Linked DNA regions of Alligator mississippiensis. The main gene of each other region encodes a partner of the protein of the gene in region 2 in a complex. Links are inferred from orthologs where the notes say so. Each region holds a gene or a part of one and is shown on either strand. Other genes may lie near its edges.

Evidence for each region.
Region 1: APOOL (region 2) and MICOS13 share a complex: the UniProt entries of both Homo sapiens proteins name them as parts of the mitochondrial contact site and cristae organizing system (MICOS) complex. The link is inferred for Alligator mississippiensis from reciprocal best matches to the Homo sapiens genes APOOL and MICOS13.

The regions. Positions count from the first base shown.
Region 1 is NC_081839.1:4,001,327-4,016,085, reverse strand, and holds MICOS13 (MICOS complex subunit MIC13), read right to left. Parts: upstream 6,160-14,759; 5' UTR 6,087-6,159; coding exon 6,058-6,086; intron 5,654-6,057; coding exon 5,497-5,653; intron 3,979-5,496; coding exon 3,927-3,978; intron 2,798-3,926; coding exon 2,700-2,797; 3' UTR 2,598-2,699; downstream 1-2,597. Other genes in the region: disintegrin and metalloproteinase domain-containing protein 10, read left to right, coding at 366-462, 1,260-1,396; HSD11B1L (hydroxysteroid 11-beta-dehydrogenase 1-like protein), read left to right, coding at 7,549-7,633, 8,289-8,419, 9,283-9,394, 10,174-10,265, 10,902-10,995, 11,448-11,613, 11,954-12,140. UniProt on the Homo sapiens protein: Component of the MICOS complex, a large protein complex of the mitochondrial inner membrane that plays crucial roles in the maintenance of crista junctions, inner membrane architecture, and formation of contact sites to the outer membrane.
Region 2 is NC_081831.1:56,200,108-56,215,254, forward strand, and holds the start of APOOL (MICOS complex subunit MIC27), read right to left. Parts: upstream 6,970-15,147; 5' UTR 6,929-6,969; coding exon 6,812-6,928; intron 1,358-6,811; coding exon 1,253-1,357; intron 1-1,252. UniProt on the Homo sapiens protein: Component of the MICOS complex, a large protein complex of the mitochondrial inner membrane that plays crucial roles in the maintenance of crista junctions, inner membrane architecture, and formation of contact sites to the outer membrane.

The DNA.
Region 1 (14,759 bases), on a different chromosome or scaffold from region 2:
ATGTGTGGGGGGAGTGGATATTGAGTCAAGGCCTAGTGCAGAGGGGCTGGACCCGATGATCTTCCGAGGTCCCTTCCAATCTTACAATCTATGAGTCTATGAATAAGGCAGCTCTGGGATTCCTACCTGGTGTTCCAAACCCTGCCGCTGACTGGCTGCATGACCTTGGTTAAGTTACTGGCATCTCCATTCCCTGCACCATGCAGGTGGTGACAGCCGCATCCCTTGCAGAACAGCTGTCAGTAAGGCAGTTTGGGTAGCTTAGGAGCAGGTGCAGGTCCAGGTATGATTCCCAAGGTAGGGCAGAAGGTACCCAGCTCCTCAGGCTGCTGAGGACTGAGCAGTGGCCTGGCTTTGTCCCTCAGAAGCGCTGGTGGGCTGTGCTTGCGATGATCCTGACTTTGGCGGCAATGATGGCTGGCACCGTCTTCCTCTTTGGAAGGACCCTTGATAGTGAAACAGGTAAGTGGAGGTTTCAAATAACTCCTCCCTTACCCCATCCAGTTCCTGCTGCCCTAGGGAGTTTCAGCTTCTGCTCTGGGGAACGCCGAGGGACGTGGGCCAGCACAGCCAGCACCTTCCCCAGTTCTGTCCAGTAGACAAAGTGGAAATTTGCTAGGTTACTCGCTCTGGGGGAGCCATGGGAATTGCCACTCAAAGCATCCATCTGTCTCTTGGGGAAAGGAAAGCGGAGCCCAAGTCACACCCATAGGAAATCTAGGGATGAAACATCATAGGTGTCTTGGTAACTAGCTGATCATGCCTGTTTCCTCCATTAACCCCCAACCTCTGTCTCTTACTCCACATCACCAGCGACCTCAGGCTTGTATTAGGCCCCTTGCTGCAGCAAAGGCAGAATCCCCCACAGGTCCTTATTAATCTGCCCCAGGGAACCTGCTCCCCGACTTCAAGTCTGGTGACTTGTCTAGCCTTGACCATCTGAGCAAGACCCAGCAGCCACCAGGTTTGAGTACCAGGCCCACACCAAGCCCCTGGGGCCAGAGAAGCCACCAGACATGATGCCCTGCCAAAGCCAACTAGGAACCTTGTGTAGTTTTACCCAAGTTAAATACCCTGCTCCAAACACCCTTAGCACCCAGATACTGAGCTCATTTTCACAATGGATTGCTCTCAGTCTCTGACCCCTGGGGCAGGGACACCAGAGATACCGCTCTGGGTGTGACAGCTAGGAGCTCATCCCAACTCCTACAGAAGAATCACTGCTGATAGTGGTTTGGTTTGGTTTCTTTTTTACTTAGAAGAGAAAGACACAAAGAGCACAGTCAGGGAGGCCTCAGCCAGCCAGCAGCCTCAGCACAGACGGATGTTAATATACCATGAACACGAGGAGTTCTACATGGAAACCACGCACCGGGAGTATGAGACTATCATATAGCAAAGCATCCAGATCCAGCAGTACTCGCAGACCCCCTCGCGAGTGGATTTTCCAAGAGGTCTCAGCTCATGACAGGCACGTAAAAGAAGGGACTGGACTTGGCCCCAGCAACTTCTGCTGAAAAACCAGCTCTTGGGATCCAAGATTCCTGGGTTCTGCCCTCCGCATAGTAGAGCACAATAGGAGCCACAAATGCTTCCGTGTAAGGTTAGTCCTCCCACTGCCAGATCTGCTGTGTGACTTTTGCTTCAGCTCTTTGCAGCTCGGCTTTCTGCCCAGGTGTGGACAAAATTGATGTTCACCCTGCAGCTTGTATAGAGATACAGGTGCTGGCATTAAACTCCCGAGTTGGGGTACTTTTGTCAGCATAGCTGCAGCCACATGGAAGGCAGGCCGCAACACCCACCCAAGATAGGTAAATGCTCCAAGAATAATTACTCCAGACTCTAGCTTTTACAGCTAGCCAGCCACTGGTACCCAAGCTAGTTAGTTTTAAAACTAGCTTAAGTAGGTCTCTGCAAGCCACAGTGCCTGAATTGTAGATATACCTTCTATCTCAGAAGCTGGTCTCCATCAGCAAAGTGATTAACCTTTCCTGCTTCAAATCATTTCCTGTATCACCCTTCACATGTTTCCAAAAAGAATTCAAGACACCTTTCATAAGAGGCAGCATTTCTTTCCTTGGCTAAAGGCAGGTCTGATGGCGCTGCCTATATACTACGTGGAAACAAGGCTGTATTAGTCAAGGTCTCATTGAAGTTACTGAGACCAAAATCTAGGTAGATTTGAATAAGGCTACGCAATCAGTGGATTCAAAGGGGACACAAGATTGGCATTAAATCAGTGTTGGGGATTATAAAGGATGGGATGATAGGTCAGAGATAGCAGTCAGTCCAGTGGGTTTAGCTTAAGATAGAAAAATGTTCCTCGTCTCCTTGCAGTTGCTGAAACTCTGATTATTTGTACTGGGCTTTGTCCTTGGACCATATCTTTTAGTATGTCTGTTGGGCTGGTTAGGTGTTGTAGGGTTTTGGTTTACACTTGTACAATACTGAAAGACCTGCTTTATAATGGTAAACTTTATAACAGCGGTTGAATGCACCGGTCTAGGCAGAACTCACCCCAATCAGGCCCTGTCCCCACTGTGGCTCCTAGCCCCCGTGGCTGAGCCTACGTGCCGACACTGACCCGAATGCAAAGGGAAGTTCCAAAGTCTTTTATTGTAGCCCTTGCGTGGCTGAGCTGCCCCTCAGAGGCGCGTGCTATGCATCATCTCGGAGACGCAGCAAGCCCTGGAGAGTGTTCATTTAGCAAGGTCCTTCACATACTTCCAGCCTTTCTGGGTGTATTCACGAGCCCTGGTGGGAGCTACAGACAGAGCCGACATGGCAGTGTGAACTCCTGCAAGAAAAAAGAGACATGGAGGGGAGTCCTGAGAAAAGCATTAACAAAGCATGCTGTACCACCAATAATGTGATATCGTGGGTCACACGCCCTTCCCCGTTTAAACATAATACCAGAGATCTTGGCTTATATCAAGGGAATCTTCAGTCAAGTCTAGGCCTGAATAATTCCTGATTCTGGTGCAGTTGTTACGGTCTCATCAGTAGTCAGTGGGTCCTCCCCACCACCACTACCTAGCCCACTAGCCAGGGGAGTGGTGTAACCTTTGTCCTTGGAAGCTTGTAAGTGTAGGTTTGGCAAATGTTTGGGGCAATTCAGCCCCTGCATTGAGCAGGGGGGCTGGATGAGATGTCCTCTTGTGGTCCCTTTCACTCCTTTCTGTCTAGGATATTAAAGGGGTCTGAAGGAAGGGAGACTTCATGGTTACAGCACAGGCCTGGATACTCTGTATTTTATTCCTGGGTCTGACACAGACTTGCTGTGCAACTCAGGCCTGCAAACGGTAAGCAACTTGCCCACAGTCTCTCCTTCTGGAAAATGAGAAGCAGGTTGAGTTCATTTTCTAGATGTTTTCCACATATGTTAGCAATGATCAGATCAAAAAGGCTGGAGAAGGGCACTGTATTATTTGGAGAAGTCCCAATAATAACGGGAACCATCTTACATTTTCAGACCATCACAGCAGGTTAGATGCCGAGTCCCACTGATTGTACTAGCACTTGAAGGATTTTATAGAACTCCTCAATTTTTAATTGATGACCTCCTAAAGAGCAGCTCAGCACTATCATGCTTTGTTGCCAATTCTACGAGTGCTTCTGTACTTGGGTTACTAGCTGCAAAAAGGCCACCTGCCTTCAACATGGCATTTTTATCAGTAGATTTTAAAGCACTTTTGAATAAAAGGTGGCCAATATTATCCCCACTTTACAGGCAAGGAAACTGAGGAACTGAGTTGTAAAGAGATCCACCCAAGGCCACCTTGAAGGTCAGTGGCAGAGCCAGGTCTCCCAAATCCTAATCCAGTGCTCCATGCACTAGCTCTCGCCAAGTCCTCACAATAGGATTGTTGGATAAGTTACATCAGTGACAGCAGCCCCCTTCTGCAGCAAAAAAGCAGAAGCCTTACCTTTGTTCCAGGATTCAGAGACAGAAAAGTCAAATTTTGGAGTAGATGGAAGCTGAAAGAGAAAACAAGAGGCAAAACCTCAATGTCTGGCCCGCTAGCTACATACAAAGCCGCTAAGCAACATGCTAAGAGAGGAAAGAGCAGAACAGGCACCACCAGGCTTCCCAGGTCATGCTGAACAAGGCCCTCAGGCCCCGATTGTTAAAGGTATTTGGGCACCTAACTCCCTCTTCAATTCCATGGGGCACAGAAAAGAAACCTGGGCTCTTACCTTCTCTCTTACTGGCCCATTTGTAAGACTGGGGCAGTAGGCAGCATTTTAAAAGTGCACCAAAATGATTTAGATCTGAATCCACTTGGCTGCTTTTAAAAATATCACTGTTAAATTTTACCAGGACTTGGTTTATTATGGTTATATCTCGATTTATGGCACTAGGGCTTTCCTAGTCCAGGAAACACTGTCCCTGCACAGCAGATTTTCCAATCTAGGGAGTCAGAGCCAGGCCAAGGGAAAACTACCGCAAGCAATTTATAGACCATGTTATTAACAGGAAGCAGCAGGGCAGGAGTGGGTCTTTGAGGGTGGATCCATTCGGTAGTTTTTAGAGCAATGGTTCCCAACCTGTCTCATACTGCGGAGCGGGATGGAGCCAGAGCTAGCAGTCTCCCTCTTGGGGCTGCCCTGGCACCCAGCTGCGACTGCTGCTGGGGTGGACAGATTGGTGTCCGAGAGGGGGGCTCGTGCCACGACCTGGCAGCCAACCTTTCACGGCCGCGGCCCAGTGGCTGGGAACCTCTGATTTAGAGGCTTTCCAACAAGGGGTCAGGAGCATTACTTATCATAAAAACACCTCCCAGATCAGTGTTTCTCAACCTTTTAAGTAGCAAGTACCCCCTAACTTCTGAAAAATTTAATAAGTACCTCAACACTCAATTTTCCAGGGGATTTTATATTTTCAGACTAATGTGTGCTATATGTTGGAAGAAGGGCTGTGTCTATAAGGCTGTGATATGATAGATGTCTGATCTGGTGTGTGCAGGGTTGCACACCTTTTACACCAGGGGTGCACCACTCAAGCATGTGCCTGGGCTAGAGGCGATGTTGGCCGAAGTTTGAAGGGCTGAATCCAGTGCTATGCAAAGCGTGGCATGCCAAATTATTACTGGGGAATTTAAAGCACCGTGCAAATGTGCAGGGCACCAAATTTTTGGCCATAGTTTTGAGAGGTGGAAGGGGCAAGAGAAGAAGAGAGGGTGAGAGTGTTGGGGTACCCACATACCCCTGCCTGTGTCTCGTGTACCCCCAAGGGGGTTAGAAACTGTCTCACACGGCATGTTCACGCTCCTCTCCTGTCCTCCGCAAACTGTTTCTTGCGCACCCCACCTCCAATAAGACCCGTGGAGGGAGAGAAGAAACGAGCGCACAATCCCTTTTCCTTCCAAGGTGAAATCCCGACTCCGCTGAAGTCGGCGGCAAAACGATGCCGCGGGAGAACCCGAATTCTGCTTCCTTCCCCCTCCAGCGAGGGGCTCCCTGCGGCGCCCCCCCAGCCGCCTGCGCCGTCCTCACCTCCCAGCCGACGTAGTTCGTCCATTCCTTGATGGCTGGAGGCAGCGCCGCCTGCGCCTTGCGGAGGGCTTCGGCGCCTTGCTGGCCGCTTCCCAGCAGGCCCTGGTCGTACGCCACGTACACCGCGCCGCCGGCCAGGCTGCCCTTGACCATGAACCTGGGAGGGAAGCCGTCAGAGACGGCATCGGGGTGGGTCTCGCGTGGCTCCAGGTGCTGTTGAAGTAGCCCCCGCTCTCCAGGGGACACGGGCCGCTCCCTCCCCCCCAGCCCAGGGCACCGTGTCCCTGGTCACATGTGCCACCCCCCAGGGCACACCTGCACCCCCCCAGGGCACACGTGTTCCCCAATCACACCTGCACCCCCCCCATACACATGGGCACACCCCCCCAAGCACACGTGTTCCCCAATCACACCTGCACCCACCAGACATGCGTGTTCCTTAGTCACGTGCCCGCCGACACGTGCGTTCCCTAGCCATGGGCGCCCCCTTGGACCCCCCGAGGACGCGTGTGCCCGGCCCCGTGCACCCCCAGCCGGGGGAGGTCGGCGAGCCGCACTCACTTGACGACAGGGAAGATCCGCGACGCCATGACCGCAGCCCAAGGGCAGCGCGCCGCCGCCCGCCCGCCTGCACCGACTCCTCCACGCCCGGCCCGGCCGGCTCGCCGCACAGCCCCCCGGGACTTGTAGTCGCCGGCTGCAGTCACGTGGCCAAGCCGCCATTGTTGCCGAGGCGCGGCCCCGCCCCAGCCGCAGCGCGCACTTCCGCCTCAATAGCTGGCATGGCAGCGGCCTGGCTTCCGGGTTGGGGTGGGGTCACGTGATCCCCGTCTGGGGGAGAGCTGTCCCAGCAGCCTCTGCGAGGTGGGGCTGGGCAGGACCCAGGAGGAAACAGCATGGGTGGGGGGGCATGCAGATTGTACAGAATATATCACCCAAAATTAGATATACATACACTGTATCATCACTCTGGCTTGTAATGATTAGTGTAATTAAATGTCTCCTAGTGGATATCTGCATTGTTTCTTAGATGAGTCATACAAATCAAGCAGGCTTGCCACTTGGAAATATAAATACTGCGAAGGGATCGTCCCCTCCAGGCGTGCGTGGGACTCGCGCAGGCGCATCCATCCCAACTGACCGACTCTTTCCACGGCCGCGAGAGCTGGTTCAGTTCAGTTCCTTAAACTGGCGTGAAACAAAAACATCTGAATAAAACCAATCGGAGAACAACGATTAGACTATTAAAATAAGTCATCTGTCGATGTTGGGCTGAAGCAAAAGGAGAGAAACTCTGCATTCAAGAAGATTTGGTGCCAGTCCTTTATTTCCCCCCTGACTGAGCGGTGATAAAAATGAAGGGGAATTGTAGCCGTATCCTAATTCTGCGTCTAAGCTTGCAAGGAAGGTCCGGGTCACGGACGGGCTGCAGCCTCGTCTCCCTAGAGACCGAGGTAACGAGGTTTTGGTCGTGGGGAGCTTGCTTGCGCCGACCGTCGCAAGACTTTGCTCCTCGCTCTGTGATTTCCCTTCATCTTTTGACGAGGCGCCTCATCCAAACCATGCAGCCAAGGCAGCGAGAGAGAGGCTGTTGTAACCCTGACACGGGCTTTGACTGGGTTGACCCAAGTGCCACCGAAATCCGGCCCTAACGAGCCTGCAGAAGGCCAAACACCGCGGGGGGGGGGACAGGATGAAGTTCCCATGTCTCTGCAATAGCAGGGCATTGTTCCTCCTAGAGGATGCTCGGCCCTGGGTATCATCAGTCAGTCAGGAGCATCATGGCCCTGCTCCTTTTTATCTCTGTTTTCAGGGTTGTGCAGCTCCCATCTCCCGGCTCAGTGGAACTGCAGCTGCTTTGCAACCTGGTCCCCTGGCAGAGCTGTCTCCTCCAGGTAAATCAGCAACCCGAAGGGTCTCCCTGCTGCCTGCACGAGGGAGCGGTGGGCCCAGACTTTGTCCTCTGTCCTCAGGGGCAGAGGTGAACAGCGCTGGGACGGGACTCAGCCTTGAGGCTTCGCCCTTGCATTGTCGTCTGGCGCCGCAGGGGAAATGTCTGCAAGATGGAAGGCGCTGTGGGCAGCTGGGATTGCCGCCGGGCTCCTGGCTTTGTTCTGGAGAGACATCTTTAACCCAGGTAGGCCCAGAAAGGAAAGCACGAGAGCCAGAAGCTGTCGGGGGAGAAAAAAAGGCTGAGTTTTGAAATGGTGGTTTGCGGCGTTCTCATCTGGAGAGAGTCGTCTGCTTCTCCGGGACTGCTTCTCCTTGTAGCCGGCGGCAGATGGGAGCTGGGAGACCTGTGAAAACAAGTGGAAACACGGCGGAGGAGGAGGCAGGGGGGTGGCAGCACTGTAGGCAGGCAGAGGTGGTGCGGGTCAGTGGTAGGAGGGTTTGGGAGCTCTGGCTGCTGGTTGCACATGTCTGCAAGGGATGGCCTCATTAGGAACAGGAGGCGTAATGATTCAGCAAATTGGTCACAACAAAAGGAGGCGTCTCGACTGCAGCGAGATAGGGGAGTCAAATCTGCCCGGCAGCTATAGTGGGATAGGGTTTCACGTGACCCAGGGACTGATCCAAAATTTCGGTCAGAGCTAGACTTTGTCTTTCCAGGTGCCACTCGGAAGGAGAAGGGTCTCCCCGCCCTTGCCGGACCAGCGTTCCCATGTTATTTCCCACCCAGACTGGGTTTTCCAGCCCAATCCTGAATCTTGGTTGGCTCTGGAGAAGCACAGAGACTTGTGGCCACTGGTCTGAACCCCTCAGTCATTGCTACTCCTCTTTCCACCCTGCAGAAACCATCTCCGGCGCCCGCGTGCTCCTGACGGGTGCCAGCGCTGGGATTGGAGAGCAGATGGCTTATCATTATTCCAGATTTGGTGCCGAAATAGTGCTGACAGCCAGGAGGGAAGCTGTGCTGCAGAAGGTGAGACCTCCTTCACATGGTAGAGGGCAGCAGGGCTGATGACGTGGACCTAAAAACAATGAGGATGTAGGGCAGGTCAGACATTTTCCATCAAACTGGTATGGGTGAGCTGCCCAGCCACATTCACACCTCTCAGGCAGCACCACCATCTGACTCCTAGGATGCACCACTTCCCTCATCAGATTTGGATGCATGGTGGGAGAGATGATCTAGGAGGGAACCTGACCTGTGCAGGGTCATTGGAGCAGGTTGGACATTCATAGCAGGCTTCTCTGAAGAACAAGGTGGAGCAACATTGAGAGCAAATGCCCCTGAGGTTGTGTGAATGGTGTAACGTTCATCTCGACAGCTCCGAGCTCAATTCTGCTCTAGGGCAGGGGGTCACAAGCCCAAGGCCTAGCATCACATTTCAACCCCTGACTCATTCCTCCATGTCAAACAGTGCTGTGACGGCGTCAAAGGACCTGGCTCCTTCAGGCTTGTCTACGCTTGAAAAGTATTCCAGCTGAAGGAAAAGGATGGATTTCCAGTTTACCAGCTATTCCAGAATAGCTCTCCATGTTGGCATGATTATTCCAGAATAAGAGAGGTTTTTTTCTTTTAAGATTAATCCACTTGGAAAGCAGATTGCGAGTGTCCGCACAGAGAACTTTTCCAGTTAATTTCCCCCTTGTAAACAAGACTTGAGTGCATCAGCAGAATTTGGTCCCCTGTAGGTTGTGTGATTATAAATTTGGATGGAAAAAGTGTGTCTCTGTTCATCCTTGACCCAGGCAAGAAAAGAGGGAGGTGAGTAGGAAATAAGCTCCCTGCCCCTGCCCTGATAATGTACTTCAATTGGTTTATCTGGGTCATTTCTCCAGGTGACGGAGAAATGTCTGCAGCTGGGAGCCAAGAAGGTCTTCTACATCCCGGCTGATATGATCTCCCCTGCGGAGCCCGAGCGGGTGATGCAGTTCGCTGTGCAAAAGATGGGTAGGTATTGGTCTGTTAGAAGAAAAGCAACTGATGCTGGGGAGGAGGAACCAGCAGGGTGGGGTCTCAGTGAGTCAGATCCCAGAGATCCAACCCAGCTGAGAGCAGAGCACTGTCCCCATGGCGGCTGTGTGGGCAAGGAGGTGACACGGGGTCAAAGGTGCTCGGAGAAGCTGACGGCAGTGATCCCCACCAAACTGCCTTTACTCTGCGGTTCCCTTTAAGCATCTGCTTCAATTCACCATGAGCTTGGGTCCGGGGAGGGGGGGTGCATTGCTGCACCTCCTTTTCCACGGGCTGTGCATTGCTGCATCTTGCACTCATGAAGCCGGTCTGCATGGGTGAGAGCCAGATGTGCAGCGTCAGCTTTCCTGGGTGCCCTGCCTGACCCGCAGGTTATCGTGGTTCGTTCTGCACTCCCCTCCATCTCTCTGGGTATCTATTCAGCCCTCCTCACCGCAGGAGCACGGTGCCTCTGTTTCCCCATCTTGGTCAGGGATGTGTGCGTAGAAGAGGAGAGTTTGGACTGGCAGCATGAAGCAGGACCCAGACTGTGTATTGTGAGCTCAGCTGGTCAGAGCCAACCGTTCTTGCTGTGCATGTGTAAGGGGGGAAAAGCAGTGGCAGGGATTGGCAACCTACGGCTTGTGGGCCAGATCCAGGCCATTTTATCTGGCCTGTGAAGCCCCAAGTGTGCCTCTGTGCTGCAATTCGCAGCCCCTGGCTGCCTGACTTGTGGGGGGTGCTTTACTCAACTCTCACTGCCCCCTTGCCTGCAGGGGGCCTGGATTACCTGGTGCTGAACCACATTGGTGCGACCCCTTTACAGATGTGGGATGGGGACGTGGAGCACACCCGCTGGCTTCTGCAGGTGGGTTTTCTTAGGGTAGGAGTCCTTTGGGGGTGGAGGAGAGGGGCAGAGAGGCTTGGCCCCTGCGGGGATCAAGCTGGGGGCAGCTCCCAGGAGCCGCTGGCTTCTGGCAGGGCTGCAGTTGTGCCCTCTGGCTCCAGAAAGGGTGAAACAAAAAAGCCTGTGATGCTTTGCTCCTGACTGGAGGGAAAGGGGGAGGAGGGGTCTGAAAGCCTGCAGGTAGAGAGCTGAACTGATTAGAGCATTGCCCTTGTCTGTCCGTCTCATTGCCAAGGTATGTGCTGCTGTAGGACCTGACTGATGTTGTGTTACAGGGCCTTGGCTCTTGCACCATGCCTGTCCATGCTGGGCCTTTCTGTGGAGTCCTCCTGAGGTCAGGTTTTAGGACCCCAGAGGGGCAGACTTATGGGGTTGCTGAGACATGGTAATGAGAAGGCTTGAATCTTTTATTAATGTGGAAGTGGAAGCTGGGGGCTGGGGATAGAGAGGGGTAGCAAGGGGCGACACCCCAACTTCAGGGGGAAACTTAGGCCAAGAGTTACCTGTAAATTCACATTACAGGTAAGCTCAGGAGGGGTGTAGATTTGGAACGGTGACTTTCTCATTCTTCTCATGCCCCCTCTCCTGCCTCCACAGGTGAATTTCCTTAGTTACGTGGCCCTGGCGATGGCTGCGCTTCCGGTCCTGATGGAGAGCAAAGGCTCCGTGGTTGTGGTGACCTCCATCTCAGGTGAGTTTGTGACCTCCACAAAGCACGATCCAGGAGGGCTGCACTTCCCGGCATGCTGTGCTTCCTCACGGTCCGCAACCAGTGTTGCCACAGTCATTCGATTCAGAGTCTGACTGCCCCTTGCTAGAGCTTGTCTGGGCTGCTGACCCCCACAGCACTTCACATGGGCTGTCAAGGACACGGCTAAAAGACAGCCATCTCTGGAGTGAGAGGCCAAATATTAGGTTATTCAGTGGCTATGCGGGGTCAGGAAGGAGTACTTTCCCCTGGTGCATTTTTTGGAAGGGAACCGTCTCACACTGCCTCTGCTGGAGATGGGAAGCCTGTCCAGCTGGAGCAGTGGGTCGATGTAGCTCAGATCATCCTCCCTTCCCTGGCTCCTCTCCCAGCAGGGCCTCATACTCAGACCCAATTTTCTCTGGGTTTCCCCTTCTCTCGTTTTTTCTTCCTAGGGAAAATCGCAACCCCCTTCGCCACTTCCTACTCTGCCACCAAATTTGCCCTGGATGGGTTCTTTAGTTCCTTGCGCCATGAGCTCGCCATGCAGAAGAAAGACATGAGCATCACTCTCTGCGTCCTGGGGCTGATCGACACAGAGATGGCACTGGAGAAGACAAGGTGTGTACATGTAGCTGCAACAGGATTTAGGTCCATGCAGGGCACTTCTGTCCATGCGTGTGCATGCATGAACATGTCTAAAGCCACGTGGGTGATATGCAAGACAACACGTTGCATTCACATCTGGGCTTATGCACGTGCCTCCATACAATGCGTGCTCCAGGCTGTTTGCATCCATGCATGCAGGAGTGCATGTGCATGGATATCTGTAGGCCTGCGTGTGATGTGTACAGCCCTGGGCTAGTCTAGACCTTTCGGCTGCTGTGACGCACCAGCTTGCACTGAGAAGGGCAGTGCCAGCCATGGGAGGGTGAATGACTGAGCGACTGTTCCCTTTCAGGGGCCTCGTGTACATGGATGCCCTCCCTGCCACCGAAGCTGCGCTCGCCATCCTCCGTGGTGGTGCCACGCGGGCGCGGGAAGCATTCTACCCCTGGTGGCTGGAGCCCCTGTGCTACGTGCGGGGCTGGTTCCCCAGCCACTGGGACTGGGTGGTACAGAGCTTCTATAACTACACCAGTGCCTGAGCAGTGCAGAGCCAACACTCCCGGCCCCTGCCCACCCAGGCGCTGGGCCTTCTGCTTCCATCAGGCCCAAGCTCAGTCACAGGCTTCGGCAGGACCAGGATCAGGACCTTGAAATGGGAACGTGTCGGGGGCCGAGCGTCCAACCCTCATGCTAGCTGTGACCCCTTCCCTGGACAGCTGAGCCCCTTCTGCTCCCTCTCTGCATCCCCCCCCTGGGCCCAAAGGTCAGTTCTGTCTCAGCCTCAGCCTCCCACAATCCCACCTCTGCTGTCTGGCATATAGCCGAGGCTCTCCTCAACTCCAGCCTCCAGCCTCTCGCACCTGGGGACAGAATCCACTGCTCCCCTCACGCAGGAAGGAGACCTCCCTCCCACTCCTGTCTCCACCTTGCCGACAGCCCCCAGCCTCATGGGATCAGGCTCTGAGCCCTCTTCCAGCCCCTTCCCGAAGGGTCGAGCCAGGCTCTGGGACAGGGGTTCAGGCCAGTCCAGCAGAGGCAACAGGAGGGACACACTCACCTTCTAAGGTGGGTACTTGGCCCGTTTCAGGCCCTGAGCAAGCTCCATCCACCCTTGTCTTCCCCCTCCTCCGGGGATCCCCTTTGGGAACACTGCCCTGAAATGTGGGGCTGTCTTGGGGTGGCAGCAGGGATGCAGAGGACCCAAAACACCCTTCCATGCCACAGAGGAGCAGGAGGATTCTCCCAGGCCTGTGCCCAAGCCAATACCACCCTCCACCCCAAGCTGCCAGGGACAGATCCAAATCCCATTGGGGATTTAAAGGATCAGGACATGACAAGCAGACAGCAGAAGGGCCGAGCACCCGCAACCACCAGTGACCCCCAGCATTTCTGAATAGCAGGGGCTCCTTGTGCAAGTCGGGGCTGCCCAGCCACCACGAGGTGGCAGCATCCAGCAGCCGGCACCAGCTCACCTGCGTGGCATGGAAAGCATCGGCTCCCTGCTCCTCACCTTGCCCTGGCACTGCAGCTGCAAGCCTCATCATCCCCATGTCCCAGCGACTGGACTGGGAGCCAGTGGTCATGCCACCCCTCTCCAATAAAGGGGCTGTTTCCACCTGAGCCAGGTTGTGCTGGAGTCAATCCCAATGCATTCCCCATTGCATCCTCTTGGCATTCAACAAGTGGGGGTGGGCTGTAGGATGCCACTCAGGACCTGTCTCATGATAGTGCCGCTGGTATGGCAGTCAGCTAGAGGTGTTAGTGGAGATCAGGGCACCACCGTGCTAAGTGCTGTACATACCATATTATCTGATGTATATGACACGTGCTTTGTGCTGAAAATGGAGGTCTACATTAAGACACATCTTATGCCATGATGCGATGAAAAATCACTAAATTTCAGTCCATTTTTATGACACGTTTACGGTTAAATATTCTCCCCCCCCAGTTTCATCCTTTTTCCCCTTTTTGCGGGGTGTACCTTATGCATCACAAAATGCAGCACCCGCAGTAAGTCTGCACCAGCCCCAAAGAGCTCGCAGCCAAAACAGACAAAAGGAAGGTTATTACCCTTATGTTTCGCTGAGTGCCAGAGAGGTTAATGGACATGGCCAAGGTGATGGAGGATGTCTGTGGCAGGGCTGGGAATCCAGCCCAGCTTTCCTGGGCCAGTCCTGTTATCCCCACAGCTGCCCAGCACCTTCACAAGCTGGATTATATACCACCAAAGCAGATCCATGCCGGGAAAATAAGCTCTGAGCCCAGCTGTGCCACTCCTCGACCCATCGGAAATGTCTCCCCTGCCAGATCCACCTGGGGGATGCACAGTTGTGGACCCGAATTACACCTTCATCTAAGTCTGTTGGGAACAGAGGTGAAATGACCTGCTCTCAAGCTGTCCAACAACCACGGCGAGCATATCCTGGGGACGGTGTAGAGGGGAGAGGTTCTGCCTTGGCGCACAGTTAATTTTGCAGGTTTCAGGACGTGCCGGTGTGTTCAGGATCAGAGCGCAGGGACCCCCACTGAGCAGGCCTGTGCCGCCTTCCTGGACCTGCAGCCTGCGCGTGCAAAGGTCTTGCACGGCCACACATGGAGCAGATGTGCAACTGCAGGAAATGCACGTGGAGCGGCAGCAGGGGGGCACCTAGCATGCACGGGCCCACTGGTATGTGGCTGGGTACATGGTTCATTCTGGAGGGGCAAGCATCGATCATGCTATCTCATGCCCCGCTCAGTCCCCAGCGTGGAGATGAGCTGCCAGGTGTCTGCAAAGAAGAGCTGTGTGCAGGAGGGGAAGGGAAACCACTCTGAGTGGGTGCAGGAGGAGGAAGGAGCAAGGTGGTCTTTCAGGGACTTGCTCCCCGTCACCAAGGCAAGCCAAGAGGAGCCCGTCCTCACAGTGCAGGGGATGCTGGCGGGAGTTGCAGAGGGGAAAACCCCAGCTCTGCCCAGGGAAATCCCACAACCACCAACATGGTTTTCCTACTGGCGGGGGAAAACCACGACCACGGCAGGGGGCAGTACCCTGACCGAGGTAATGCAATTAAAAAAGCACTGTGTAGTGGAGGGTTGCACCCGGGTCTGCTTGCAGACAGGACTTCCTCATAGTTAGCCTCCCACTTCGACTTCCAGTGGGAGGATCTCAGCTACACGCC
Region 2 (15,147 bases):
GTGATACCTTGGCTTTGTCAAGATTTTTTACGCTGTCTGCCATGACATTCTTATTAGAGAGCTAAAGAAACAGAGACTGAATGAAGGTACTCTAAAGTGGATATATAACTTGTTGGACCATCATGCTCAATCAGCAGTTATCAATGGATTGATGCCTAGTTGGGAAGAGGTATTAAGTGGGGTTCCCCAGAGGTTTATCCTGGGTTCAATATTGTTTAATACCTTAATTAATGATTTGAAGTTTGGGATTGAGTATACACTTGGAAAATTTGCAGAGGGCACCAGTTGCAGACTCTCTGGAGGGTAGGGTTAAGATTTAGAATGACCCTGATGAACTGGAGAAATGATCTGAAGTCAAATGAATAAAATTCAATAAGGACAAGTGCAAAGTCCTGCCTTTCAGGTGAACAATTGCATATACAAATACAGACTGAGGAATGACTGGCTAGGATGTGGTACTGCAGAAAAAGATCTGGGTATTACAGAGAACCATCAACTGATATGAGCTAACTGCTCTTGTTGCAAAAGGCCAATAGTATACTGAACTACAATACCAGAAGTGTCTCTTGCAAATCAAGGGAAGTGATTCTTCCACTCTATTCTGCACTGGTGAGGCATGGTGTGGAGTACTGGGTCTAGTTTTGGGCCCCTCGTTTCATTAAAGATGTGGACAAATTGGAAAGAGTCCAGTGAACAGCAGCAAGAACGATTAGAGGTCTGGGAAGCATGACTTATAAGTCAATTTTGGAAGAGCTGAGATTATTTAGCCTGGAGAACAGAAGACTAAGGGGGAATTTGATAACAGCATTCAAATGTCTAAAGGGAGATTATAGAGAGGATGAAGATGCACTTTTGTCTGTGGCTGTGACTAGGAGCAATGGCCTCAAGCTGTAGCAGAATAAAATTTACATTAGACTTTCAGAGAACCTTTCCGACTCTAGGGTGGTCAAACATTAGAAAAGTCTTCTTAGAAAAGTTGTGAAATGCCCATTGTTGGAAATTTTCAAGAACAGGCTGGACACGCTTAGCTGGGATAGTTTAGTTAGGAATGATTCTGCCTTGAACAGGGGTCTGGACTAGATAACCTTGTGAAATCCCTTCCAGGCCTACTTTTGTATAACTCCGTATCACTCGTAGTTAAATAATTTTGTTTGCTGTGTAACATCATTCAAAGGGAAGCCTTGGTAGTTTTCAAATACTTCTAGTTATTGTTTAAAAAAAAAAAAAAAAGCAGCAGCAATAAGAATCTCACCTGATTTGGCTTTATTGGGTGGGTTTTTGATCCTTCTTCTGTTGCAGCATATACACTAATAGATGTACATGCCAGAGCACAAGGGACAGCGACCAGCTTGGCCATCTAGGACAGAGAAAGATAAAAAAAGCAGCTTTAAATGTTATTTGAGAAATCATATTTTCTCCTCTTCATTAACATCCAGTAGTAATTTCTGTGCGTCTGATCAATCTGACATGCTTAATCTGTTATTTGATTATTTAATTGAAATTGGTTTAAAAATGTACCTTTTAAAATCCTCTTTTGTAATATAAAACATTTTAGAAGAAACAACAGAAGTTTTTTAAACAAAAAAATACTCAGGTATGCAAACAGAGAGGTCCACAACCTGAAAAGTACAGTCTAGTGTACAAGTACAGCCCAACTACTTTTTAAAGCAATATTTTATTATTCAGAATTAATTTTGAAAGTACTCTAAAAGTACACTAGTATATCAGCTAATTCAGTCTCAGAGAGCAGTAAAAGTTGTTTCTCACTGTTACTATCATTGCCAGTACCACAATACTGTGGCTGGATATTTTTGTCCACACTCATTTTAGTTAATACAATGAAATCTTGACTGAACAATACTGTCATACATTGCTTATGAAGTATTATTACATATATTGCCCAGTCACAGACTTCAATCCCACTGTGCTAAGTCCTGTATAAACACAACATGAGACAATAGGTCCTAGTGGGAGGGTGTGTATTCCTCACAACTACTAGAGCCCCCTATTTTAAGGATAACTGGTAGTATTCCACAACATTTATGCTATTTCTCAGATCTTTTGAAATTGTGTAGTAAAACTCAAAATTACCATATACAGTAAAATCCCCATTATCTGACATGAGTGGGGAATGCTGGGTGCCAGTTATGTAAAAATTCCAGTTATCTAAGGCAGATAACACAGAGTGGAGGGGGAGGGGGTAGTGGCAACCACATGCAGAACAGCGGCAGCGCAGGGTGGTGGGGGCAATGGCCAATGTGTGCAAGCTTCTCCCCACCTCCCCAGGTCCAGCCGGAAATACTGGTTAAATAGAATATTCTGGCTTGCAGAATGCCGGATAAGAGGGATTTTACTGTATATCCAAAAAAACTTATCTAAAGAGTAAACTGTGTTTTCTTTTCTAGGTTCTACCCCAGAATGACACATTATTTGCTATGTGACCATGGGTATTTCCTATGTGATCACCTGGTCGAGACAGACCTGTCAGGCCTGGTTTTAGGAAATGCTGAGCACCCACAACTCCAATCTAAGTCAGTGGGAATAACAAGTGGTCAGTAAGTCAGGCCTGAGGTATCTCAGGGTCTGAACAAACTATCAGAACACAGTGAATATGCAGGGGATACGGATTTTCTGTGGAGCAACAATAAAGTACTATGTTAGAGATAAAGGATGTACACAGTGCATATCTTAGGGCCATTCCACTGATTCTTACTGTTCTTCAGTTGACATTTCATTTGATTTCAGGAGACTGTCATACTGTACCTGACTCTGTCCATATACATTTTTTTGCAAAAAAAACAGCAGATTTAAAAGAGAAAAGACTCAAACCATGACTCTGGAACTCTTAAAATGCTGAACATTTTTTAATACCAAAAATACACTATATTTTCTCTGACCTCATAATCTGAAACCAATATAAAACTATCAAACCTGGAAAATGTCAGCACAAATGGTTTAAGTTTGGTACAGTTATAGGCAAACAGAAAAGGGGCTTCTAACAGGAAACATTAAAATAAAATTAAGTTTAAGACCCCCAACAAACTTTATAGATAAACATATAAATAACAGCTCCCTAAGACAGAATTCTCAAACCATGTCAGTAAATAAGCAAACAACAGATATAGTATGACTTTAAAGATTGTAAACTGGGCTTGTGGTTACATCTGTAGACTAAGAGTCTGTTTTATTATAATCTGGAGTAACTGAAAGATACCCTCTCAGTTTACATGTAAAATAAAGTTTGTTTCTGTAACTGCCAGATTTACTAATTCTACCAAGATCAAAAAAGCTATGTTGGTTCATTCAAAAAATTTCCAGATATTCTTCAGATAAAACAAAAATAAAAAAACCCGAAGTTGTGTTAAATCTGCTAGACTAAAGGCGTGTCTACAGGAGACACGTTAATGTGCATTAGCTTAATTTAATGCACATTATGGACACATGTCTACACATGTATGCTCTTAATGCGTATTAAAATGGTGAAATTAGGCTAATCGCGCCTAAATTTGATACCTGCAAATTTGATACCCAGCTACTGCTACCCCCAATGCTTTGGCTGCAAATGCAGGTAGCAAATTTAGGTGTGATTAGTTAAAGCGCATTAATGCATGTGTAGACACCAGTAGGGGTACATGGCAGGGCTGCAGTGACTTGGTACTAACTTTAGTCCCAAGTCTCTGTATGTGCAGACACCTGGCAAAAATTGCTTAATGTGCATTAAATTGACATTATCGGCAATCAGCTTCTTTTGGCTGATTATACTGCTAATAAACGCTGCGTGCATGTGTACAGCTGCAGCATGCATGGGGCCAAGAATACAGCCTGGTAGCTTGGAGAGCAGCACCTGGCTGGTAAGTGTGGTGGGGAAGGGACGGGGGAGGGGAGGGAAGGGGCATGGGGAAAGCAGATCAAGGATCCCATGGAGGGAGGGAATGGGGCTGGGGCAGGTGCTGCTCAGCCAGGGTGGGACGCAGAGTGAAGTCATGAGCAGCTTGTCTGACGGCTGCAGGGGAGAGGTATGGGGGGCACATGCCCCCCTGATCTGTGTATGGGGCAAGGGTGGGCTGCCTGCTGTGCGCTCAGGCCAGATGCTGTGCTCGGGCTGGGAAGTGATGGCGCTGTGAGGGAGGACTATGGGGGAGCTATGGTGAATTTTGGAGTGGTTGTAGCCCTCCCCAGTAGCCCTGTCCCAGTGCCACCACTGACTGCCCCACCCCTGCACACCCTGAGCACAGATCTGGGGGGGCACATGCCCCCCCATGCCTCACCTCACCTGGGGTATGTGCAGTGGCAGAAGCCACCCTCCTCTCCTGGATCAGCAGCACCACACCCAGCCAGGCCATGCCTGCCACAGCCCCTCCCTTACCATGGGGAGCTCGATCTACTCCTCCCACTCTTCTTCCCTCCCCCACACCCCTTCTTTCGAACAGACTTACCAGCCAGATGCTGCTCTCCGATGCATATTGCCAAACTGACCGGTGTTGGCCAATATGGCTAGTCAATAATCAACACAGGTATTGGTCCAAAAAAGCTTAATTGGTGCACCTCTAATTACTTTTCTTCGAGAAATGAACACGACTTTCATGATAGTGTCTCAAGGTATCAGCAATAATTTATTCCTAGAAGACAGGTTTAAAAAACAGTGTAGTCTACAACTCCATAGGTTATTAAGTGCCCATCAATGGTTTCCTGCTTAAAAGAACTGATCCAGTGAAGTAATCCAGCGGAACAAGACTTTTGGGATAATTCCTGAAAAGATAAGAGAATGTTCCTACTACCCTTTAAGGATCATAGAAGTATTCTTGCTACTTACTGTTCCATTATGTCAAAGCAATGTCATGGTTATAACATTAAGCTCAAGACAGACATGATTTTAGCATTAAAATTTGTCAGTTGTTTCTGATATGCAACAAGATTACTGCAAATTATGTTTAATCAGAAGTCACGTAATTAGTTCTTTATAGGAGTTTGCATACTCCATTGCTCTTTGGTTAGTTACCCTACGAATGACAGAAAATCAAATGATAAGCATATTTTCTCTGAAAACCATAGTAAAGAATAAATTAAGTCTCACCCCCTTCCCTGCACACTACACCAGGCACCCCACCTCACCCTCAGCTCCCTAGTTGTGGGCTTTCCTGCTGCACCATGCTCTTAGCACTGCCGGGTGGGCCATGCTGCATCAGTGCAATCCCTGGGATGGCACCAGGAGGGAGAAGGAACCTGAAGACCCTGGCTGCTCTTGCAGTCAGAGCATAGGGGGTAGCAGTAGCTGGGTGGGAGCCCAGGGGCCACAGTTTAACCCCTTACAGGCTGCCAGTTGGACAGCCCTGGTCCAAAATATCAAAATCAGGTTAACCAGACTATTATTTTACCAGGTCCTCCTTTTTCCACTTTTTAATATTCATAACTTCTCTAATCCTCTAGAACCTCAATTAGTACCATAAGTTTGTAAATAATACTACCAGTGGCTTTAAGAATTTCTTCAGCTAATCATTTCAGGACCCTTGGTGAAATCCATTAGGCCCTACTGGTTTGAAGTCTTTTAAATTGTTCAGAAGTTCTTAGATGCACTGTTAATTCATTATTTGTATCCTTTCCCCCTATTTCTTTATATTACTTTTTCTAGTTTCATGGCAGTGTATTTTTCTGTGAAGAATGAAGCAAAGAAGTCAATATAACAAGAGCAAACAGCTAAACAGTGAGGTAAGAGAAAGAGGTGAACTCACTTATTGTTTTGGAAGAAGGCAAAGAGGCCTAGCTGGATCAGGCAGGCACAAAGAAAAGAAGAATGCTAACGTTAGAGCTGTATAGCAAGCAGAGAAGGCAAGCAGATAAAAAATTACAAAGCTGAAAGATGGTGCAGGGTCAAGGGAAGTTCAGACGGTCAGAAACACAACTGACAAATACTTACTAGGACAGAAAAAGAGTGAAGGTGATTTAGCATTTGTCTGCAATGGGAGACCTCTGAGGGGGCGACAAACATAACACTTGAACAGTTTTAAGAATGTCACTGATTGGGAACTGGTTCACAACTGTCGCGGTTTAGAGGTGTCCATACACACACCGCCAAGGTTCCTAAATAGGAGCCACTTTTCAGATATTGCAGTGTTGTCAAACTATCACCAGGGGGTGACAGTGAATATCCAGCTTAGCATGCCTTAGTAGCAAGTGGCCCAGTTTCCCCAATATTTCCTGAGCAGAGAAGGAAGACTGTATGAATGGCCCACAATTGCAATTCACTGATCCTCCTTCTCACTAACACCGAGTTCAGTAAAGACCATTCCCTGTGCTGTACCAAAATCTTCATGGTAGTACCCTGACTAGAGGTGCCTAGATATGTGCGTGGAAGGGTTGGGGGGGGGGGGGGGAGAGGAGAGGGAGGAGAAGCTGCCTGACCCCTGCTTCTGGTTCCTGAGAGCTGGGTGCTCTGGATTGTCAGAGCTTTTGTGGCTTGCAAAGAGCACTTTCTTACAGGCCACTCATCAATTTTCTTCAATTTGTGGTAATGTATCACAGGCTGTTTAGGAGGTGAAGGGCTGACCAGATAGTTGGGGAGGGGCAGGTCTACCTGGACCTCTGCTTCTCCCTTCCTGGGGGGAAGGGTACTCCAGAGTGCTGCTCAAGGTCTCTGGCTTAGCCTACTCCCTTAAGAAACGTTACCTCCAGGTGGTCAGGTGGGAAAGTGCCTAGACCCCTGCTTGTGGATTCCTAGGGAGCTGGGTATTCTGAGGACTCCCCAAAGTTTCTGCTTTTAAACACATTTCCCCACAAGCTGCTTATCGGTTTCATTGCATTTGTGGCAACTGACCAGGCTTTGGGGCATCCCAGGCTGATTTGGGGTGGGGGAGGAGGGTTGGCCAGGTGCTTCAGGGTTCCTGGGTGCACTGCTGAAGGTCTCCATGTAAGTTGCCGGCATTGCAAGCATTTGACCAGTGGCTTGGGAAAAGTGTTGCTTAAAAATTGCAGAGATCTTGGATGGCTCCCTGGGAATGCAAAAACAGGGGCAGATATGTGGGTTTTCCAGAACATTTTGAATTGGAAAAATTTCCAAAGCCCTAAATAGAGCACAATCTGATATAGCATGCTTATTTGACTTATATTTAGTAAACAAAACTAAAAAAGTACCCCCACGTTAATTTTATGTCTCAATAGTAACAAGTATTTGAACTGAAATGTTTGATTAGGGAAAAAAAATTAAATACAGCACACTTAATGTGGTTTAAATGTTACATTCAAACAGATTCAAAGCTTTATGTGGAGGTGTTCAGTCCAGTCACAGCCCCCCTTTTAATTCCCTGGATCTGGAGACCAGTGAATTTCCTTCCGGTATAAGATTCTGGGGCTCTGCCACCCCTGACACCCCAGCCTTATGCCACCTTGATGTTTAATGTCTTGTCTGATAAATTGCTTGTCTAAACCATCACAATCCTGTTTTCTTCAGACCACTCCCCTGTCTGTCACACTTTACTGGACAGCCTCCCTTCTTCACATCAAGTACCCCAGATTTGTGACTACTGCATCTCAGCCTCATCTAAACTGCACATGGCTTTATCAATATTACACATTCCCATTGAATCTTAAAGTGTAACAAACTATAATCTAACTCATAACTTACCAGATGCACCTGTGCCACCGTATCTAGCTGAGTGCTAGGGGCAATGTAAAGTGCTAGGTACTGAAACCTAAAGAACTAGGCAGGCAAGGGTTAATTCCTATCTGGTTTGTTTTTTTAGCTAGAAGTGCCTGTGCCCTGAAGCCCACTTACCACTTCTTTGCTACTTGGTTTCAGATATCCTCTCTGTTTACCTTCTGGTAACAAGCTTTAGGAAGCAGATTCTTGCTCCTGTACTAACTCTGTACGCTGCCTCCTGCTCCAGAACACTCTCATTTAATCCATGGGGCCACGGGAAGGTTTCTGCTCTGTCTCCCCCTGGGCTCTGTACCAATCCCTGCATCCATCCACTACAACCAGATCAACCAAACCTAACCCCTTCATCTTTCTCTTGCCCTCCTTGAACTGCTGTTCTTGCCCCTTTTAACTGCTGAGCCTGCCCATGTGCAGGTGAGCTGCTTCTTGAAAAGGGGGTGAGGTGTCATGTCCTTTCTGGTTCCAGCTGCTCACCTGGCTGCTCCAGCACCCCTCTGGCAAGGTAAGCTTGTCTTTTAACCCCTTTTTGTCCTCACCCCTCTCACAACACTGAACAAGTTAAAGGACCATTTCAAAATAACACCTGATTATCCAGGCATACTTTTGAAACGTTCCAGGAGCTTTACAACATTCTAAATAGGCTTGAACATCTGGACGCTTGCAGTTTAAACAGCATTTAAAACAGTCTAAGCGTGACGTCTATCTGGAACTCTGCTGGAACAGTTATATACAGGGACCTACTGTGTCTGTAATTGCACAATTTCTGCAGAAACTGCAGATTTTAGCCAGCTCCGCAAAAAATGGTGGGCTTTTTAAAAACACAGCAGAGTCACTGCAAAACAAAACTAAACCAAACCAAACCCAATAAACAAAAAAAAAAATACTTCACTGAAAATATAATGCTGGCTCCCCAGGGGGGATTGCCTGCATGGTCCCCTGGGGGAGCCAGCAGTCCTTGTGGTAGGCAGCAAACCAGGTGGGAAGTGGGGAGGGAGGCTCCTGGCAAGAAGGACTGCTGGCAAAATGGCTGCCTGTCATGAGGCCCCACCCCTTTCCACCAATTGGTACCGAAGGGCAAGGGTGCATGACGGACAGCCCTGACAACAAATCAGTGGCAAGGAGCAAGGCCAAGTGACAGACAGCCCTTGCAACTATCAGCAGTGACGGATGGGACCACTGAGACCCTTCAGCTAGAAGCATGGCTGATTTTCTTGGGCAAATCCCAAGGCCCTACTGCCCACAGCCTGAGAAAATGGCAGCCGGCCTTGGGATTTGCCCAAGAAAATCAGCCAGCCGCCTCCTCAAGTTAGGTAGACCCCTAGTTATATAGCACTACACCCTAGTGGAGACACAGCATACGCTGACATGTTTTCCTGCCAGAAAGGCCACACCACTTTTCTGAAATTAAACTGACAAAGCACTCTGACCAGCATAGCTGTATCTAAAACACAGGGTTTGCTAGCAGCTAAAAGGAGTGACTTATTTCACACTCTTAGCTGATGTAATTATAGTGACAAAACTTTTTAGTCAAGACCTGGCTTGAACAGAAGACTGATAGGGCCTTACTCATATTTAGAGACTAAAGTCAAGTCTATATTACACAAGCATTGCAAGTTTATCTGAGTCAGGGAGGAGCACAAAATAAACCACACAGCCTAACTGACTCAGGTACACTGGCAAAACTGTAGTTTGTACAACATCCAATGCAGTTGTGCTGACAGCAGGATGCTTACCCTTGGCTTAATATGTCATTTAGGAAGATGATGCAACCCCAACAGAAAAAACACTATGGCATATTCTCAGCATTAGCTATGTCAGGAGAGCCCTTAGTGATGCTGGAATAGCTAAAGCCATAGAGGCCCTTCTAAAGCACAGACAAACCCTAAAGGTTTAGGGAGAACAGAAACAGGATGACAATAATCAAACCAATTAACACATGAATAATTGCCTTTGTGATAATATGACCTAGAATAAAATACCACGGTCAGGGCTAGTGAAGATGTCACTCAGAAAGACACTTATCTCTTGGGGAACACAGAGCACACAAACTTTTATTCTGCTATTTGAATATATTCTGTTAAAACAAATTTTCTTTATAATTACATGTTAATAGATTGTAATTGCTTAAAATCATTCTTCTTTACCTATGAAGCCTTCTCAGAATTAATCCTTATTGTCACTGTAATCCAGGACACAATACTGCAAACAACTATACCTGGTTTCAATACAACGAAGGAGACCAAAGTTGTAACATTATAAACGAGAAGACAAACCAGGCTTTCCAAAGGAAAAACACAAGATAGTTTTTGCTTGTTTTAATGCACATACCATATTTACTGTGGTAAATTAAAGCAGCCAGAGAGCTGTATTGTGGCAAATTAATAAAAAAAGAAAAAGAAAAGGAGGTGTTTTATGAATGCTGAAAATAGTTCAACTTCAGAATAGCACTGATTAGACACTTACTCAAGACAACTGCATGATTATGCTAGTGGGAGCATCTCTACTGTCCAGTAATTGTTTTAATGCAATTATTTTTTTTTAAAAAGGCTTACTTTTCCCTATTGAAATGACAAAAGCTCTACCAGACAAAACAAAGAAAATCAATATCCTAATTTGTGCAACATCCAATCAACTTTGCCAGGTTCACAGGTTAGTATGTTCCTTCCTCAGACTAATAATTAGGTATAATGAAGTAAAATACAATTACTGAGAATGCCAAGGTCCAGAACACATTGAACAAAACAAAACAAGGTTAAGCAGAAAAAGAGTAAGATCACCTAATGAGCATTAGAAATGTAATATTATGTGGGTCAAGTCAAAGCCTTCTTGTTTCTTTAGAATTTCAAATAGTCTATAAGGAGATACTAAGGACCAAAGAAGAACATGATCATGAAGTCTTAACAAATCTGCAAGAGATGATGAAAGCAGTACAGTGAAAAACTTCTGTAAAAAGCTCATGGCCATATAAATCAATCTGTAATTTCATGACTAACTAGTAAAGTGACTTCAGAACAGCAATGAATCATCTGTCTAATCTGAAGTAAAAATCTCATATTCTATTGCAAAGAACCAGTAAAAACTCTCAATAAATGCTCATTTAAACTCTTTTATATTAAAAGATTTCCTTTAAACTGAAATTGTACAATGCATGTTCGGCTACCCAGTACGTGCGCTATATTTTTATACGGGTTCTTTTTCCTCTTGTGGTTTTCTTTTTTATCCTTAGTAAAGGGACCCTTAAGAAGGATCCAACCCAAACTAAAGTCCATTAATATCTTTCCTCTAGCTTTCAGACTCATAGATTGTAAGGTCAGAAGGGACCTTGCAAGGCCACTGGGTTCAGCCCTCTGCACCAAGCAGGAACGATAACTGGGGGTCAGGTAACCATCTTGTCTTCTCTTGAAGATTTCCAAGGTAAGTGATTGCACCACCTCTGGAGGGAGCTTATTCTACAGTCTGGACACCCCAACTGTGAAGTTTTTCCTAATGCTGAGCCTGAATTGGTCTTCCAGGAGTTTGTGGCCATTACTCCTGGTTTTCCCCTTGGGTGCCCTGGTGAACAGTTGCTCACCAAGCCCTTGATATACTCCCCTAATGTAGCGGTAAGCTGCTAGCAAGTCCCCTCTCAGCCTTCTTTTCTTCAAGCTGAAGAGTCCTAGATCCCTCAGCCTTTCCTCGTATGGCTTCCTGTGTAAGATGGATCATACAAGTGGTTCTTCTTTGGACTCTCTCAAGCTTGTCCATGTCTTGTTAAAGTATAGTGCCCAGAACTGGATGCAGTACTCCAGCTGCGGTCTCACCAGTGCCAAATACAGTGGAAGAATCACCTCCTTGATTTTGCTGGAAATGCAACGATTGATGCATGCCAGAGTGCTGGTTGCCCTATTGGCTACAGCACTGCACTGCCGGTTTATATTCATACTGTGGTCTATTATTACCCCCAGGTCCCTTCCATTCGTGCTGCTAATCAGTTTGGTGCTGCCAAGCCTGTAGGTGTGCTGGGGGTTGCTCATCCCAAGGTGGAGCACTTTACATTTATTGACACTGAACTTCATCAGATTCCAATCCGCCCAATTTGCTAGTCTGTGTAGGTCTGCCTGCATCTGTAGCCCATCTTCAAGAGTGACCACATTTCTCCATAACTTGGTGTTGTCCGTGAACTTGGCCAGTGAGCTCTTCACACCCACATCCAATCATTAATAAAGATGTTGAAAAGTACTGGACCAAGTACCAACCCCTGTGGGACACTGCTGCCCACTACTCACCAGGATGACACAGATCCATTCACTACGACTCTCTGGGTCCTATCCTGAGGACAGTTTCTCACCCACCTGACTGTCTTGGAGTTAAGCCCACAATCCTCCAATTTTCTCATGAGGACATGGTAGGATACTAGATCAAAGGCCTGTTGGAAGTCTACGTATACAATGTCAACCTGCTTTCTCATGTCCAGGTGGCGAGTTACCTGGTCATAGAAGATGAGGTTGGTAAGGCAAGACCTGCCTGTGATGGAAGTCATGTTGGCTTGTCATTCAGAATCTTACTTTCTGCAAGCTTATCTCAGATAGACGACTCCTTGATGACCTTTTCTAGGATTTTCCCTAGGATGGAAGTTAGGCTGATTGGCCTATGGTTACCTGTGTCCTTCCTCCTGCCCTTCTTGTGGATGGGTACAACACTGGCCCTCTTCCAGTCCTCAGGGACTTCTCCAGAGCACCACCAGTTGTGGAAGAGTTTCGCCAGGGGTTCCACAATGACTTTGGCCAGCTCCTTCAGCACTCTTGGATGAAGAGCCAGTCCCAATGACTCATATATGTCTAATTTTTTTAATTCATCATACACCAATTCTATGGCAATAGTAGGAAGGTGATTATTCCTACTGTGCTCATCCTATATTCTACCTGGCGTTCGTCTTCAGTCCCTGGTCCCACAGCACTTCCCGTACTGGTGACCTAAGCTTGTTGAAATAAGATCTGATTCAGTATCCAAAGCAAACACAGCATAGGATATGTTGTTAAACAAATATGGGTGAGTCCTGAAGCAGAACTTAAAAAAAAAAGAAAGAAAAAGGCATGAGCCCAAACAGTATTTTGTAGACATGAATTCAATACGGATACAGATGCTGACTTCTAAGGTGCTGACATTTATGGTGTTGCTTTGTGAATAACTGAATTGAAAGCAAGTCAATGATAATAATCAGAAAGCATCTCCCTTAATACTATATAGAAGGGTGATTAAAAGAGACCGTGGTACCATGTAGTACATCACAGGGTTGTTTTCTCACATGGATAACACACAAACCGGGCTTTCCAAAAGATAAACACAAACCAGGCTTTACACAAAACACCACAGACTAACAGTCAGGATTGGCATTATTTTTGATCAGTGGACCATAACAACAGACTTTGCTAGTGTGTGAAAACTGGAAAGCACACCTGAAAGTCAAAAGAAAACTGTTAAAGGCATGCTTTTAAAAAATAGAACTAGAATAAAACTATCAAAACATAACAATGAAGCTGTCAAACTATACTTGCATAATTTGGGCTTTAAGTTTCTGCATTTCAAATAATCTACTTTGAAGTGTCAGAATCATATCAAAGATCAAAAATACAGAAACAGTGAGACGTGTGAATTCTAAAGAGCCACAAAACTACAAAGCATTCAGGTGTCTTACAACTGAAAGGCTTTTATTATGCTTTAATTTATATTCTACATGTCCTGGAGATCCACACAAGTTAAGTAAGTGGTGTTTCTCACTGAAATGCTGCAAACTTGGTATTCTCTCTCCATCTTTTCGGGCATATCTAAAGAAACCTGTCCAGCAGTTGCGACTAAGTCTCGTGCAGAAAAAAGTAGCCTCAAACGAGCAAGCTATATGCTGAACTCATACATTACTTTGAAAAAAAGCTTACTTAGAACAGTTCTATTTTAAACGCCCCCCCCCAATTATTTATCAGCTAGTTCAATGTAGGCCTACAAACTGCTACACGGGTTGCATAAGATGCACATTAGGAACATTTTTCTTGTTGTTTATATACCAATGCTGGAACTGGCTTCACAACAAATCTTAATTTGTAATTGTTAACTGAGAGACCTCAATGAGAGGAATCAAATCTTGATGCAATGCTTTTCTGTATTTGTATTAATAAAATACATAAATGATAAATTCTTTGGAGGCAAAATTTGCAGATAGCACAAGGATTGTTAGATTAGTAAATAATGAGGGGAAATAATTATTGTAAGAGTGATATTAATACTCTCATTAAAACTGTCACAGTCCAACAGTGTCTTTCAGTATAGCTAAATGCAAGGTAATCTGGAAACGAGGAGGTTAGTCCTATAGGATGGGAGGCTTTCCTTGGAAAGAAAGAAGTTAACTACAAGGAGGCCTGGGCATCCTTGCAGATAGCTGCCTCAACACAAGCTCTTTGTGACATGTTATGAGCTAAAAAGGCTAATGAAATATATAAAGAGGGGAATTGCCTTCATTTTTCTGAGCAGGGACCAAGTCACCCCCCACCACTGGGACCCCCATAGGTCCCAGGGGAGGCGCACCCAGGCCTAGGGTCAGCGAGGACCTAGTCAGTGAACTTCTGGAGGGACTGGACATATTTAATTCAGCAGGTCCTGACAATCTCCACCCCAGAGTGCTGAGGGAATTAGCAGAGGTCATTGCGTGACCCCTGCCATGGCTTTACGAGCACTCATGGTGCTCTGGCATGGTGCCAGAAGACTGGAAAAGGGCCAATGTGGTTCCCATTTTCAAAAAAGGGAGGAAGGAGAACCCAGGAAACTATAGACCAGTCAGTCTTGCCTCGGTACTGAGTAAGCTTTTTGAGAGAGTTATCCTGGCGCATGTCCATGAAGGGCCAGCAGGGGAGATTATGCTTAGGGGCAACCAACATGGGTTCATTAGAGGCAGGTTCTTTCAGACCAACCTGGTGGCCTTCTATGACCAGGTCACAAAATCCTTAGACGCAGGGGTAGCAGTGGATGTAGTCTTTCTGGACTTTAGGAAGGCCTTCGACACTGTCTCTCACCACATTCTCGTTAAAACTAGGGGACTGTGGTGTCGACACCTACACAGTCAAATGGGTCACTAACTGGCTGGAGGGCCGCACCCAGAGAGTGGTGGTGGACGGGTCATTTTCGACCTGGAGGGATGTGGGCAGCGGGGTCCCCCAGGGCTTGGTCCTCGGGTCCGCACTGTTCAACATCTTCATCAGCAACTTGGATGAGGGGGTAAAAAGCACCTTGTTCAAATTCTCAGATGACACTAAGATGTGGGGAGAAGTGGGCATGCTAGAAGGGAGGAATAGGCTGCAACTGGACCTAGACAGGTTACAGGGGTGGGCGGATAAGAACAGGATGGGTTTCAACACTGACAAGTGCAGGGTGCTGCACCTGGGGAGGAAGAACCAGCAGCATAACTATAGGCTGGGGAACTCCCTTCTCGTCAGTGCAGAGGCAGAAAAGGATCTTGTAGTCATTATTGA